Solanum lycopersicum: one gene and its partners. The protein of the gene in region 1 binds, or shares a complex with, the protein of each later gene. Links are inferred from orthologs where the notes say so. Each region holds a gene or a part of one and is shown in the gene's direction. Other genes may lie near its edges.

Region 1 (3,756 bases):
TGGGATTCTAAAGATTTTCATGTTTTTACTATAGCATCCTTCATTGGGGGCTTCAGAATAATCTCTAGTACTTTGCTATAATCTGTGTTATCATTTTTGTCTTAGATTTAGTAAGCTATGCTAATTCTTACATGAATAAATTGTATAAACTCTGTGGCTGTACTGCACCTTACATATGTTAAATGGATTCAGGAGTTACACAAGGCAATGAAGGGCTTGGGGACGAATGATACAACTCTCATAAGGATAATAGTCACGCGAACTGAGATTGATATGCAGTATATAAAAGCAGAGTACCAGAAAAAGTATAAGAAATCTCTTAATGATGCTGTTCATTCGGAGACTTCTGGTGATTATCGGACCTTTCTTCTATCTCTTCTGGGGCCTGGTCACTGAATCAAGAGTCTACGCCATGCAACAGGTGTTATTAGTGTGGTATTAGTGTTGAAACTAGTGTGTAAGCAGTTTCTATTGTATGCTAATTATTGTTTGCTTATTTGCTGAGTAGTTGATTTGGAACAATGTCTGTCCATGATCAGTTGGATACCTTTTTTAGTTTAGTCGAATGCTAAGTGTGAATGGTGTTGTGAAGGTGCTTTCAGATGTACACTTATTTGGGTATGTTTGGTACCGGAGGAAAATATATTTTTTCCCACCTAAATTTCTCATGTTTGGTTGGTTAAATTTTTTGAAAAATATTTTGCAACATCCGTTATTTCCTGCCCTCACTTTAATAGATTTGTTGTTTGTGCGGTCAGTATTTTATATTGTTGAAAAATTAAGTTTATACTTTGTTCACTGATTATGATGGTCCAATTGAGATTTTTTTACGTATGAGTTAGAAAGTCAACTTTAACATCTCTCAACCATGTCATAATTTTATTCATCTCATTGTAATCGCGTTTAGTAAATTTTGACTGTGTATGACTGTGTTGGGTAGGCAATAATATTTATAGACTATCACGTAACTTTGACCAATCATTCCTTTAAAAAAACTCTCGAGAGCCACAAATATTAAAAGAATGGACAATAATAAGTAGTTGAAGAAAATTTGTTTTCCTATTCAATTTTAAATGCTACATAGATTGCTCTTTTATTATAGGGTGATGATTTGCTTCATATATCTCATTTTAAGGGTATTAAGTATGTTTTATACAATTAAACAAATGAAGAAAAAAAGGAAGTGGTTTGAAAATATAATTGTGTCTAATGGTAAATGATCACATTAAAAGTAGTATTAAAATTTTGAAGTCAAACTATTATTGTTGTTATTATTATTTTTAGAGCGCTCGCTACTTTATTTGCTTGTCGGAAGTTATGACGGACTATCAAATTTCCCAACAATTTTTCAAAAATTTTTGATTAATTAAAAAATAAAATATTAAAGGAAGGAATTTACTAAATTTGTATTTGTATTTTCTAAACGAGTAAACAATGTATCACATAGAAAATAATTTTTGAGTAATACAAGAACATCTTGAAACAAAAACATATCTCTTTTTAAAAAAATCTTTTGCCTAATTTTTTTTCCTTTTAAATTATGGAAATTAATGCTTAAAAAAGGAGAAAAAAGAAGGAAGCAATAAGAAGGGAAGACCGAAGCGCTCGCTCGAGCAAGAGTAAACGGATCAAACCCTAGTAACGTACACATCCAGAAGCTTAATGTACCACTTAAACCTGTAGGCAGCGACTGAGTAAAGATGAAAATGGACGTAACCATGGGGGAACCCGGTGAGATACTGCCGGAGCACAAGCCGGAAAGGTCGCCGCACGAGGTTCTGCAGCAAAGCAAAGCTTCAGTAGAGGAAATCGTCTCGAAAATGCTTTCTATGAAGAAAGAAAGCACGCCGAAATCTGAAATTCGCGAACTTGTCACTCAGATTTTCATCAACTTCGTCTCTCTCCGTCAGGTTAATATTTCATTGCATCTCCAATTGTTCCTTTTTAAAGTTCTATGAGTCCAGTTTCCAATTAAATAATCCGCTCGTCAATCCGATTTTGAAGTAGAGGTAGCATTTTGTTGTTAACGAAGTGATTAGACCAGTCAAACGAAGATGAGTTTAAGTTTAAGTATGAGCTGTTAGTACTCTAGACTCAATTTTTATATATGTATCATCCTTATGAATGTTGGTTGATGTAATTCAATGGACTCAGCTACAATACTCAGTGAGAGACTGAGAGTTGCTCTAAACCTTTGTAGGTAGATTTACCGGAGACCTGTGCTTTTTAGGTACAGCTGCCCTGGCGCTAGTTCATTTGGGACTATCATGGAGGGAGTCTATGCATAGTTAATTAATCGGATTTAGGAAACTGCGACCTTTCTCCGTTGTATTCTATTTTCATCCTGCAAAACACCTGTTAGTATTGTTTATCTTTGATCACTCTGGTTGGTAATCTCAACTCAATTTTATTTATTGAGTAGTTCTGATCTACGTGTACATAACAAACAAAAAGAACTGTATACATGTGCTTCCGTTTCTTCCTTTCTCTTTTTGGCAATTAAAGAAACATTTTATTAATTTCCAACTACCAAGTGAACTCTTTACAAAGCTAGGATGAAATATGAATTAACCAATTCAATCCTTTCTCATCTCATCTGCTAGAAACCAAACTAAATGGCAAATATAGTTAACTGCTCATTTAGTGATTCTACATATCTAAACAACATCCTACTATTCCTAGTTCTTGTGTTCAGAGAGAGCTTCATCTAAGTGTACTAGTTTCTCCTTGTGCATGGATGTGATTTGCAAAATCTGTCTGTTTCTTTCTGGCCATATACCATAAACCACCATAGTTAGACTACTTTTAAGTATCATCTTCCTTGGATCTTCGCCTCTGAAATTTTGTTGCATCCAACTCCATTCAAGTTCCCACTCCAGTATTGCCTTGATCCTTTTCTGCAATTTGCATATGTCGCTCCATATATCTTTAGTAAACTGACACTTGAAAAATAGGTGACTTCCAGTCTCGACTAAAGTGCTGCAGAAGATGCAAACAGGATATACACGAGTCCCCATCTCAAGAATAAATTTTTAGTTTTTAGCTTCCCCTGTAGACTCAGCCATAGGATGAAACTGTGTCTAGGTACAGCTATGTTATGACATAACAATTTATTTCATTTTGGTCATGGTACTAGGAAATGGAATCCTTAAATGGCGCCTTATATCACAATAATATAAGCAGCTGATTCTGTAGAGTGGGCTGCAATAAGGGCCCGGTGTCATTATGTTAATGAAAAATGGCTCGGCAGTATGTTGACGAATTGTCCCTCTATAAAAACAAGTTTTATAAGTCCAGGGACATGAGAATAGATCAAAAAACAGGGAGACTCAACCGTCTCCTGAAAGAGATGCAGCTTTGTTGAAAAGACAATTATCTCGCTTGCAAACATATCTGGGCGAGATTAAATATATGACTGGGGTACCCGATATTGTAATCAGCGTTGATCAACACGAAGATATATGGCCCTGTGAGAGTGTTATTACTTTAGGAATTCCGACAATTTGTTTCTCGAAGATTAGGTCTAGTTGTTAGGCTGTACCCTTAATATTGGAGAGTCGGTTGTATCTTCTTGTGTTTAAACTCGAATTCTGATTGAATGAAATTATTGCTTGATTGCTTTACTTCTCAAACTTGAACATGCTTCACTGCAAATTGCTCATATAATGTCTCTTAGGGTTGCAGTTATTATTGTTAGGCTGGACATATTCCATGTAAAGTTTAGATTCATATATTTTTATTTGATTTTTTGAGCTC
Region 2 (3,678 bases), on another chromosome or scaffold:
GTCTTAATGAGTCTAATTAGATCAGATTTATAATAAAGTCTTAATATTTTTCAGACTCCATTAAAATAATAAATGTCTTTTCATAAATAAATTCTATTCTTCCTTGCTTATCTTCTGTTCAAATTTCAAATTTCTTCCTCTCCTTTTCCAATTGAATACCATTTTTCTTTTGAATAAGTAAGTTTTCATAATCTTTTACAAGTATTTAATTAATATTGTTAATATATAAAATATTCTTAGATGAATTGATATTTATGAAGAAATATTTTTGTCACAATTCGTTTATTGCCAAAATTTCTTTGAAATAAGTTATCATTATTTCTTGAGAAAAAAATTGTTTGAGAAAACAAATAAATCATTTTTTTTGCGATTGGTTATAATCTTATTCTTGAAACAACTTTTTGGAAAAATTATCTTGTGTTTGGATTATAAATTTTATTGATATAATGTTTAATTTATAATTTTATAAATAAATAAATTATGCACATAGTCGATATTGAAAACAACCAATCTTAATAATTCAGTGTTTAGACCTAGAACTACATCTTAAAATTCATTTTTTGCATTCAGATTCTAATACCTTGATCGTAATGTGATTCTTAATATCCAAATGTATATTTAGGTTCAAATTCTTAATCTTAATAAAAATAAATAAGATCTTATAACTAAAGTAGTTGAAAAATGTAATTTCTTTTTAATATTTTATATAAGATTAGAAAATTTTGAAAAATGTTAATTTGACCCTTTATTTGTCAGTGTGTCACCAACAAAACCATCCCTTCGACGCCTTTCATTCAATTTTCTCGAGTAAATAATTCTTTCTTATAAAATAAATAAGAAAAAGAAACCCAGAAAAAAGAAGGATCAGAAATTTGTCGCAGAGGGGCATTTATTTTCCTTGAAGCTCCGAAACCCTAAAAATAGAAGAAGTTGATATCGCCATGGAAAATCTTCGAAATTAGGATTTGGTGTTTCTCTATCTTAATTCTTAAAAAGCAAGTGCCAAAACCCTAGGTCGTAGGGTTTGTCATCTTCGACAACAAAAATGTCTCTTTCACCTTTGGAGTATTTGTACTTTACAGAGCACTCCATCAAAGAGTTGAAAAATGGAAACACCAGCTTCAAATTCGCTCAACCACTTCCCACTCTTCGCTTTCTTTATGAGCTCTGCTGGGTTATGGTATTCATTTTATTTATTTATATATTCAATTTTGAACTATTTGTGTTCCGTTTTAGATACTTAGGATTATTTGGAACTTCCATTATTATATAATTGAGTTAAATCCATTCACGTTGTTGAAATATTAGTTTGTTATTTGCTAAGATAGTGATCTTTGTAAAGAAGTCTGATTATGTAGAAAACCGATTAATAGATAATTCACTACTAATTTAATCAATTTGTTGAACTAATAGTTGGTTTATCTGCAAAAAAGTGATTTTTGATAAGTTTGATGAATTTAAAAATGCATTATTACATAATTGATTGAAAACTTTATTCAATTTATTGAAATACTTGGTTAGTTGCTGAAAGGTGATTTTTTTTGACATGTTTGATTATTTGGAAAGTCGATAAATAGCTAATTGGTAAATTATTGATCCTTTTGGGTGTGGTTAATTGGTTATTTGCCGCAAAACACTTGTTTCTGTTTGTAAATTTATTGAATTTAAAGCAACATACTGATTAGATCATGTAAAAGAACTAAAAAAAAATCCCTGAAAGGATATTTTTGTTAGCTTCGCTTTTCATTGGTTTGTTGCTTTGAGGTCTGTGAATTGATTGTTTTGGGTTGTTTTGGGTGTTCAAGGTTCGAGGTGAGTTGCCGTTTCAGAAATGTAAATTGGCATTAGAGTGTGTGGAGTTTGTGGACTATGCATCTCAGGAGGAGCTAGGGTCGAGTTTGGCCGATATTGTTACCCAATTGGCTCAGGATGTGAGTTTTCCTATTCCCTTTTCTTCTTATTGTCAACTATTAATCCTGAAATTACTGTCCATATTTGTTTACTTTTTTTTTTTGAAACTGGTAACTTTAGTCTATATATCCACAGGTATACTACAACAAAAGTGTAGTTCCCCTTCAAAAGTTTTACAAGTTACAGAATAAAAAAGTCTTAGTCTAAATTAGTCTTAATCTAAACTGCTACCTATAACTAGCACATCAAAGATATCTTCTGTCCTAGTTAACATATCTTGTTCACACAAAAAATAGAAAAGAGCTAAGCAGTCCATCTTGATCTTCTGTAAGCTATTCTGCCAATTTTCAGAACTCCAACTGTTTCTCTTTTTCCAGATTGTCCACCAAAAACATGCCGGGACAAGTTTCCATCTCTTCTCCTTGTCAGAAGCATTGCCATCTCTATTCCAGCTGCTCAGGATTCCTTTAATGCTCCCTGGTTTCACCCATCTTATCTCCTTTAGACAGATGAACATTCTCCATAATTGTTATGTCTATGTACAATGCAAAAAAGATGGTTAATTGTCTTAGCATGTTCTCCACATAAAGTACATCTCGAAGCCAACTGAGAGCCTCTTTTCTTTAGATTTGATGAGTCAAAACTGCTTCTTTTGTTAATAGCCACATGAAGCAGTTTTCTCTGTAGGGTACTTTTGGTTTCCAGATGATCTTCCATGGCCATTCCATCTCCTGTCCAGCATTCTTGTTGAGTTCCTTATAGACTGAATTTACTGAGAATTGACCTTTGGCATCATTCTGCCAAACTAATAAGTCCTCCTTTTCAGTGAGGTTGCTGAAAGAGCCTACTGAATTTTGAAATTCTGCCACTTTGTCAATCTCCCATTCTGAAGGTTCCTCCTTAAGAACAAATTCCATCCTTGTCCAGTCCACATTGTCTCTTAATATGTGAAAATACAAGGGTATCTTTGTAAGCTACATTCACTTGCTGCTCTGGACATCAAACAAACACCCTTGATTTTGGCTTATATACCTGCAACCTGAAACATCAATTTCTTTGTTGGAGTTTTATGAATTCTATTTCTTAGTATTAGCTTAATTTGATGAATGGATGAGTATATTTAGTCAAATATCGACTTGTAAAAATCTCATTTCAGTAGGTCAAACTTGACTATATGTTGTTATCACTAGCATTAGTGGCACTAGGTACAGGTGGAAAATAAGAGTAGTTTTTCAGGTTTTCTTTGGTCATTATCAGGACATATGTATGAGTTACAATAGGATGCAGGTGAGTGGAATTGTAATTGCAACAGTCAAGTAGCTAGATAAGCTCTCTAGGGACATATAGGAGCACTAAGTTTCCCTTTGGGACCATAGTACTAATAGAAGCCGGTGTATAGGACATTAGAAACAACCAATCTGTTGCGAAGTCCAGAACAATCAGATTCGTAAGATCTGAATTTCTCTGGTTTGAGTTAGTTCCAAATCATTGAATTTAAATTGCTATTGTGCATGTTTGATTTTGTAGATCTTTTTGGGTTTGATAACTCAGTCGGCTGGTCAAATGCTGTTGCACATATTTCCTTTCCTTTTGGTGTTAATTTGAGCTTGTAAATCATTATAGGCTCCCTAAATAGTTAACCACACATGCATTTTCGATTTTGCTTTTTGATGTAAATACGAAGATTTATCTTAGTGATGAATTGTTAATATATTTATGTAGTTTTTTGTTTAACTGACTTCCTCATCCTTATATTGAGTGTATCAC
Region 3 (3,756 bases), on another chromosome or scaffold:
TTTGTGGTAGGTGGCTAATAATTTCTTTTTTTGTTTGTTTGATATTTTTGTTTATTTTTATATTATATAAAATTTATGTAACAAAATGTATTCTTTAGTATAATATTTTATCTAAATTTAAAGTTAAAATATTTAATTAAGAACTAAAATAATTTATTTTTAACTGTAATTTCTTTGAATTCTGTCAAAAGAGACTATAGCTCAGCTAAAACTTTAAGATTAACACTAATGAATTTTTTTAAAATTATTTTATAATTATAATATTTGAATAAACTGATGAATATTTTCGATTAATTGCATGAAGTATTTAATTTTTTCAATTATATGTCCTTTGAAACATATCATGAATAATTGTGTTAAATTATTCGCTATCAAAATATCATACTAGTTTTATATTATTACTCAAATATAATCTAAAAAACCCACTTTTAATTCATTACAAATTAAATATACTTAATCAAATATCACAATGACTAAAATTATGAATAATTGAGGGAATAAAAGTAGAATTATCTCTAATAGTACTCTTAAATGGATGAGATTGGACTTTCTCCACGTATTTAGGAAGTTGATTGAACCTTTTTATTTTAATATTTCTTATATTCTTTAAATTGCTTTTTTGAATAGATGGGCAAGCTACTTATTTTATTTTATATCTAATCCCCAATCACATCAATTAATCTCCAGAAAAAGTGGGAAATAAGAAGTATTATTTGTTCAAACTTTTGAATTAAATTTAAAATTATTGAAAATGTTGTCTTGCTCAAAAGTCATAATTGTACAGTTTTGACAATTATTTGATAGGTACTAATATTTTGTTATATGTATTTTTCAATTAATAGACCAAATAAATAAATAATATAAAAGATATCATTTTGATGAACACTTTGACTTATGCTTGTGAAAAAATAAAATATTGTTAAAAAAGTAAATATATGCCAGTACACACAAACATGTACAATAAATATTTCTACGATTAATTCCTTCACAATTATTAGATGAAAAAAATATCAAAGATTAATTTCCACCATTTATATTATTATTTCTATAAAATATATGAATTGTTTCTTTATAACAAAAGAATTATAATTACGGTAAATCAATGGATCTTAAATGTTATACACCAAAATAATTTATTAAAGTTGAACACTTCTAGCTCTTGATCATTGTTATAACACAAAATATGTAACTCGTTTAAATTTAAACCTTGAAATTCCCGTTTAGATGATTTTTTTTTTCTGTTTAAAAGAGGGCTCACCTATTTCTCATGAGGCAGTTTCAACAAAAATAACTACTAGCGACCATGTGTTAATTACCAAAAATGCTCAATTTCGACAGTATAAAGGACTATTTTAGACCATTCTCAAACTTAAAGGACTAGTCTATCATTTTCTAAACAGGGTTGGCATGAAACGACAATATTGTGTGTCGTTTTGTTCGTCTTCTACACAAGCAAAAAAAATATTCAGAGAAGTAAACGGAGCAAACAAGCAGAAGAGTAATGGCGGAAACAATACCCTTCAAAAATCTTCATAGCAGAGAGTACCAGGGACACAAGAAGAAGGTTTCTCTCTCTAAAACTATTCCTTCACTTCATTGTTAACAATACAACCCTAATTTTGCTTTTCCTTTTTATGAACTCTCTGATTAGATGAATTGACTATGTGATACTTTATCTTCTCTGTTTTTTTAAAAAAAATTAAAGGTGCATTCGGTGGCATGGAACTGCAGTGGCACGAAATTAGCTTCAGGTTCTGTGGATCAAACAGCTCGTATTTGGCAAATTGAGCCTCATGGTCATGTAAGCTTCATGAGCTCATCTTTTTTGTTTTCAGTTAAGTTTTAATGCTGAAAAAAGGATAGCTTTTTGTTATTGCTCTGATTTTTAAATGTTCTACTGAAGTGGTGGGAAACTGGGTGTTGTAAATAAACTGAAAAAAGGATAGCTTTTTATGATATATGCATGAACTTAGGCACCTGAGATTTTCTCTAGAGTTAAGAAGCTGGTCTCTCACTTTAGTTGTTTCTGCCAAAGTCTAGTTCTATGTGGTATGAGTTAAGGAACCTATGATAGTAATGCCTGTTGCAGTTAGGTTTAAATTTTGTTGTTACTTATCAAAGGTGGGGTAAAGTAAGCGTAACCTCACTTGTGGGAGGTCATACGAATTCGATGTTATAGATACACAGAGAGGTTTGAATTGGGAGAATGGGTAAAAAGATGCAGAAATGCTCCAGAGTTGTACAGGATGGTAAAATATCGCATGTCCCAGCTCAACGCACTTGGTGTGGAGTTATAGAAAAGCTGGAAAGGTAGCAAAGGAACATTTGGGATGCGGCGGATGGGACAAAGAAGTTTCACCTAGTGGGACGGGAGACCGTGACATCTCCTAAACAGTGGTGAGGACTTGGGGTTAAAGACTTGAAGGTTTTTAACAAAGTCCTCTTGGATAAATGGCTTTGGAGATTCGAGATGGAGGAAGAAGCTTTATGGGAGGGGTGATAGCGGACAAATATGGAGTTATGGAAGGAAGATGGAGAACAAATGTGGTTACCTTCCGAGTTTGGCATGTAGAAGAATATAATGAAGGGGTGGGAAGCCTTTAACAAAAACATTTTCTTTTAAGTTTGGGGTTGGGAGGAGACTAGTTTTTGGGGGTCAAAAGTGGTGCAGTGATTTGGTTAAAGAATGATTTCTTGGTGTTGTATAGCATTTCTGGGCAAAGGGAGCTGTCTGTTCAGCAAATTAGGGGGTGGGACCTTCTGGGATTTCCGAAATTGGGAGATGACCGATCTTCAAAGCTTTCTAGTTTTATACCATAAGCAATGCAAACCAGTAGATAGACCTGATGCTTTGAGTTGGGAGTTGGTGAATAAAAAAGTGTTCTCTATTAAGTCCTATAAAAGCTTCCTGTTAGGGTGGAAGTTAGTTTTCTGTATGACTCGGTATGGACACCTAAGGTGCTGAAGAAGGTGTATTTCTTCTTGTGGTTAGCTACTAAAGGGGTGATATTGACGGTGAAGAATCTTAGGGAATGAAAGGTGGTGGGCATAAGTTGTTGTTTCTTGTGTCAAGAGGCAGGAGAGGACATGATCAATATTTTGCTACATTGCAAAACATCTCGAGGTTATGGTAGGATATCTTTAGATGGTTTGATATTTCTTGGGCAATCCCAAATGTCTGTTGAAGTGTTGATGTTCAGTTGGAAGAGTGGAGTTAGGATAAGAAGACACAAGGTGTGAATGTTACTCCTCTTGCAGTAATGTGGGTCATTTGGAAAGAGAGAAATAGGAGAGCTATTGAAAGGGTGGAGAATTGGAGATTAGCTTTGCTCAATTGAGGAGTAGTCTCCGATCCCTTATTTTCTTTTGGTGTAATTTTTGTTTGTATAGAGGATTGAGGTGTCTTTTGGAGAACCATGTTTGGTAGGTTTCTCCTTTTGTGGTATACTCCTTTTATATGACCAAGATAGCCTTGTTATTATCAATTAAATCTTTTACTTGGTCATAGACCAGATAAATTTTTACTTTGTTAGTAGATCGAGTGCTCCATAACTCTATATCATTTGTCATTTCTCTTTATCAAGGCTATAAACATACTTTTATCTTGTTTCATAGTCGCAAAAATCCCAAGTTCCTCAACTTTGGAATTTGCATGAAGATTGAATGATATTTTGCTTCTGTTGCTCTGTATCAATACTATAAATGTACTTTTATCTTGTTTCATAGTCACAGATCCCAAGTTCCTCAACTTTGGAA

Evidence for each region.
Region 2: THO complex subunit 5A (region 1) and THO complex subunit 2 share a complex: the UniProt entries of both Arabidopsis thaliana proteins name them as parts of the THO complex. The link is inferred for Solanum lycopersicum from reciprocal best matches to the Arabidopsis thaliana genes THO5 and THO2.
Region 3: THO complex subunit 5A (region 1) and THO complex subunit 3 share a complex: the UniProt entries of both Arabidopsis thaliana proteins name them as parts of the THO complex. The link is inferred for Solanum lycopersicum from reciprocal best matches to the Arabidopsis thaliana genes THO5 and TEX1.

The regions. Positions count from the first base shown.
Region 1 is NC_090803.1:65,322,223-65,325,978, forward strand, and holds the start of THO complex subunit 5A, read left to right. Parts: upstream 1-1,409; 5' UTR 1,410-1,700; coding exon 1,701-1,910; intron 1,911-2,200; exon of another isoform or gene 2,201-2,386; intron 2,387-3,756. Other genes in the region: annexin D5, read left to right, coding at 193-396. UniProt on the Arabidopsis thaliana protein: Acts as a component of the THO subcomplex of the TREX complex which is thought to couple mRNA transcription, processing and nuclear export.
Region 2 is NC_090804.1:20,379,059-20,382,736, reverse strand, and holds the start of THO complex subunit 2, read left to right. Parts: upstream 1-734; 5' UTR 735-1,045; coding exon 1,046-1,180; intron 1,181-1,805; coding exon 1,806-1,931; intron 1,932-3,678. UniProt on the Arabidopsis thaliana protein: Acts as a component of the THO subcomplex of the TREX complex which is thought to couple mRNA transcription, processing and nuclear export.
Region 3 is NC_090806.1:70,055,995-70,059,750, reverse strand, and holds the start of THO complex subunit 3, read left to right. Parts: upstream 1-1,384; 5' UTR 1,385-1,501; coding exon 1,502-1,564; intron 1,565-1,705; coding exon 1,706-1,801; intron 1,802-3,756. UniProt on the Arabidopsis thaliana protein: Acts as a component of the THO subcomplex of the TREX complex which is thought to couple mRNA transcription, processing and nuclear export. Contributes to the integrity of the endogenous trans-acting small interfering RNA (ta-siRNA) pathway.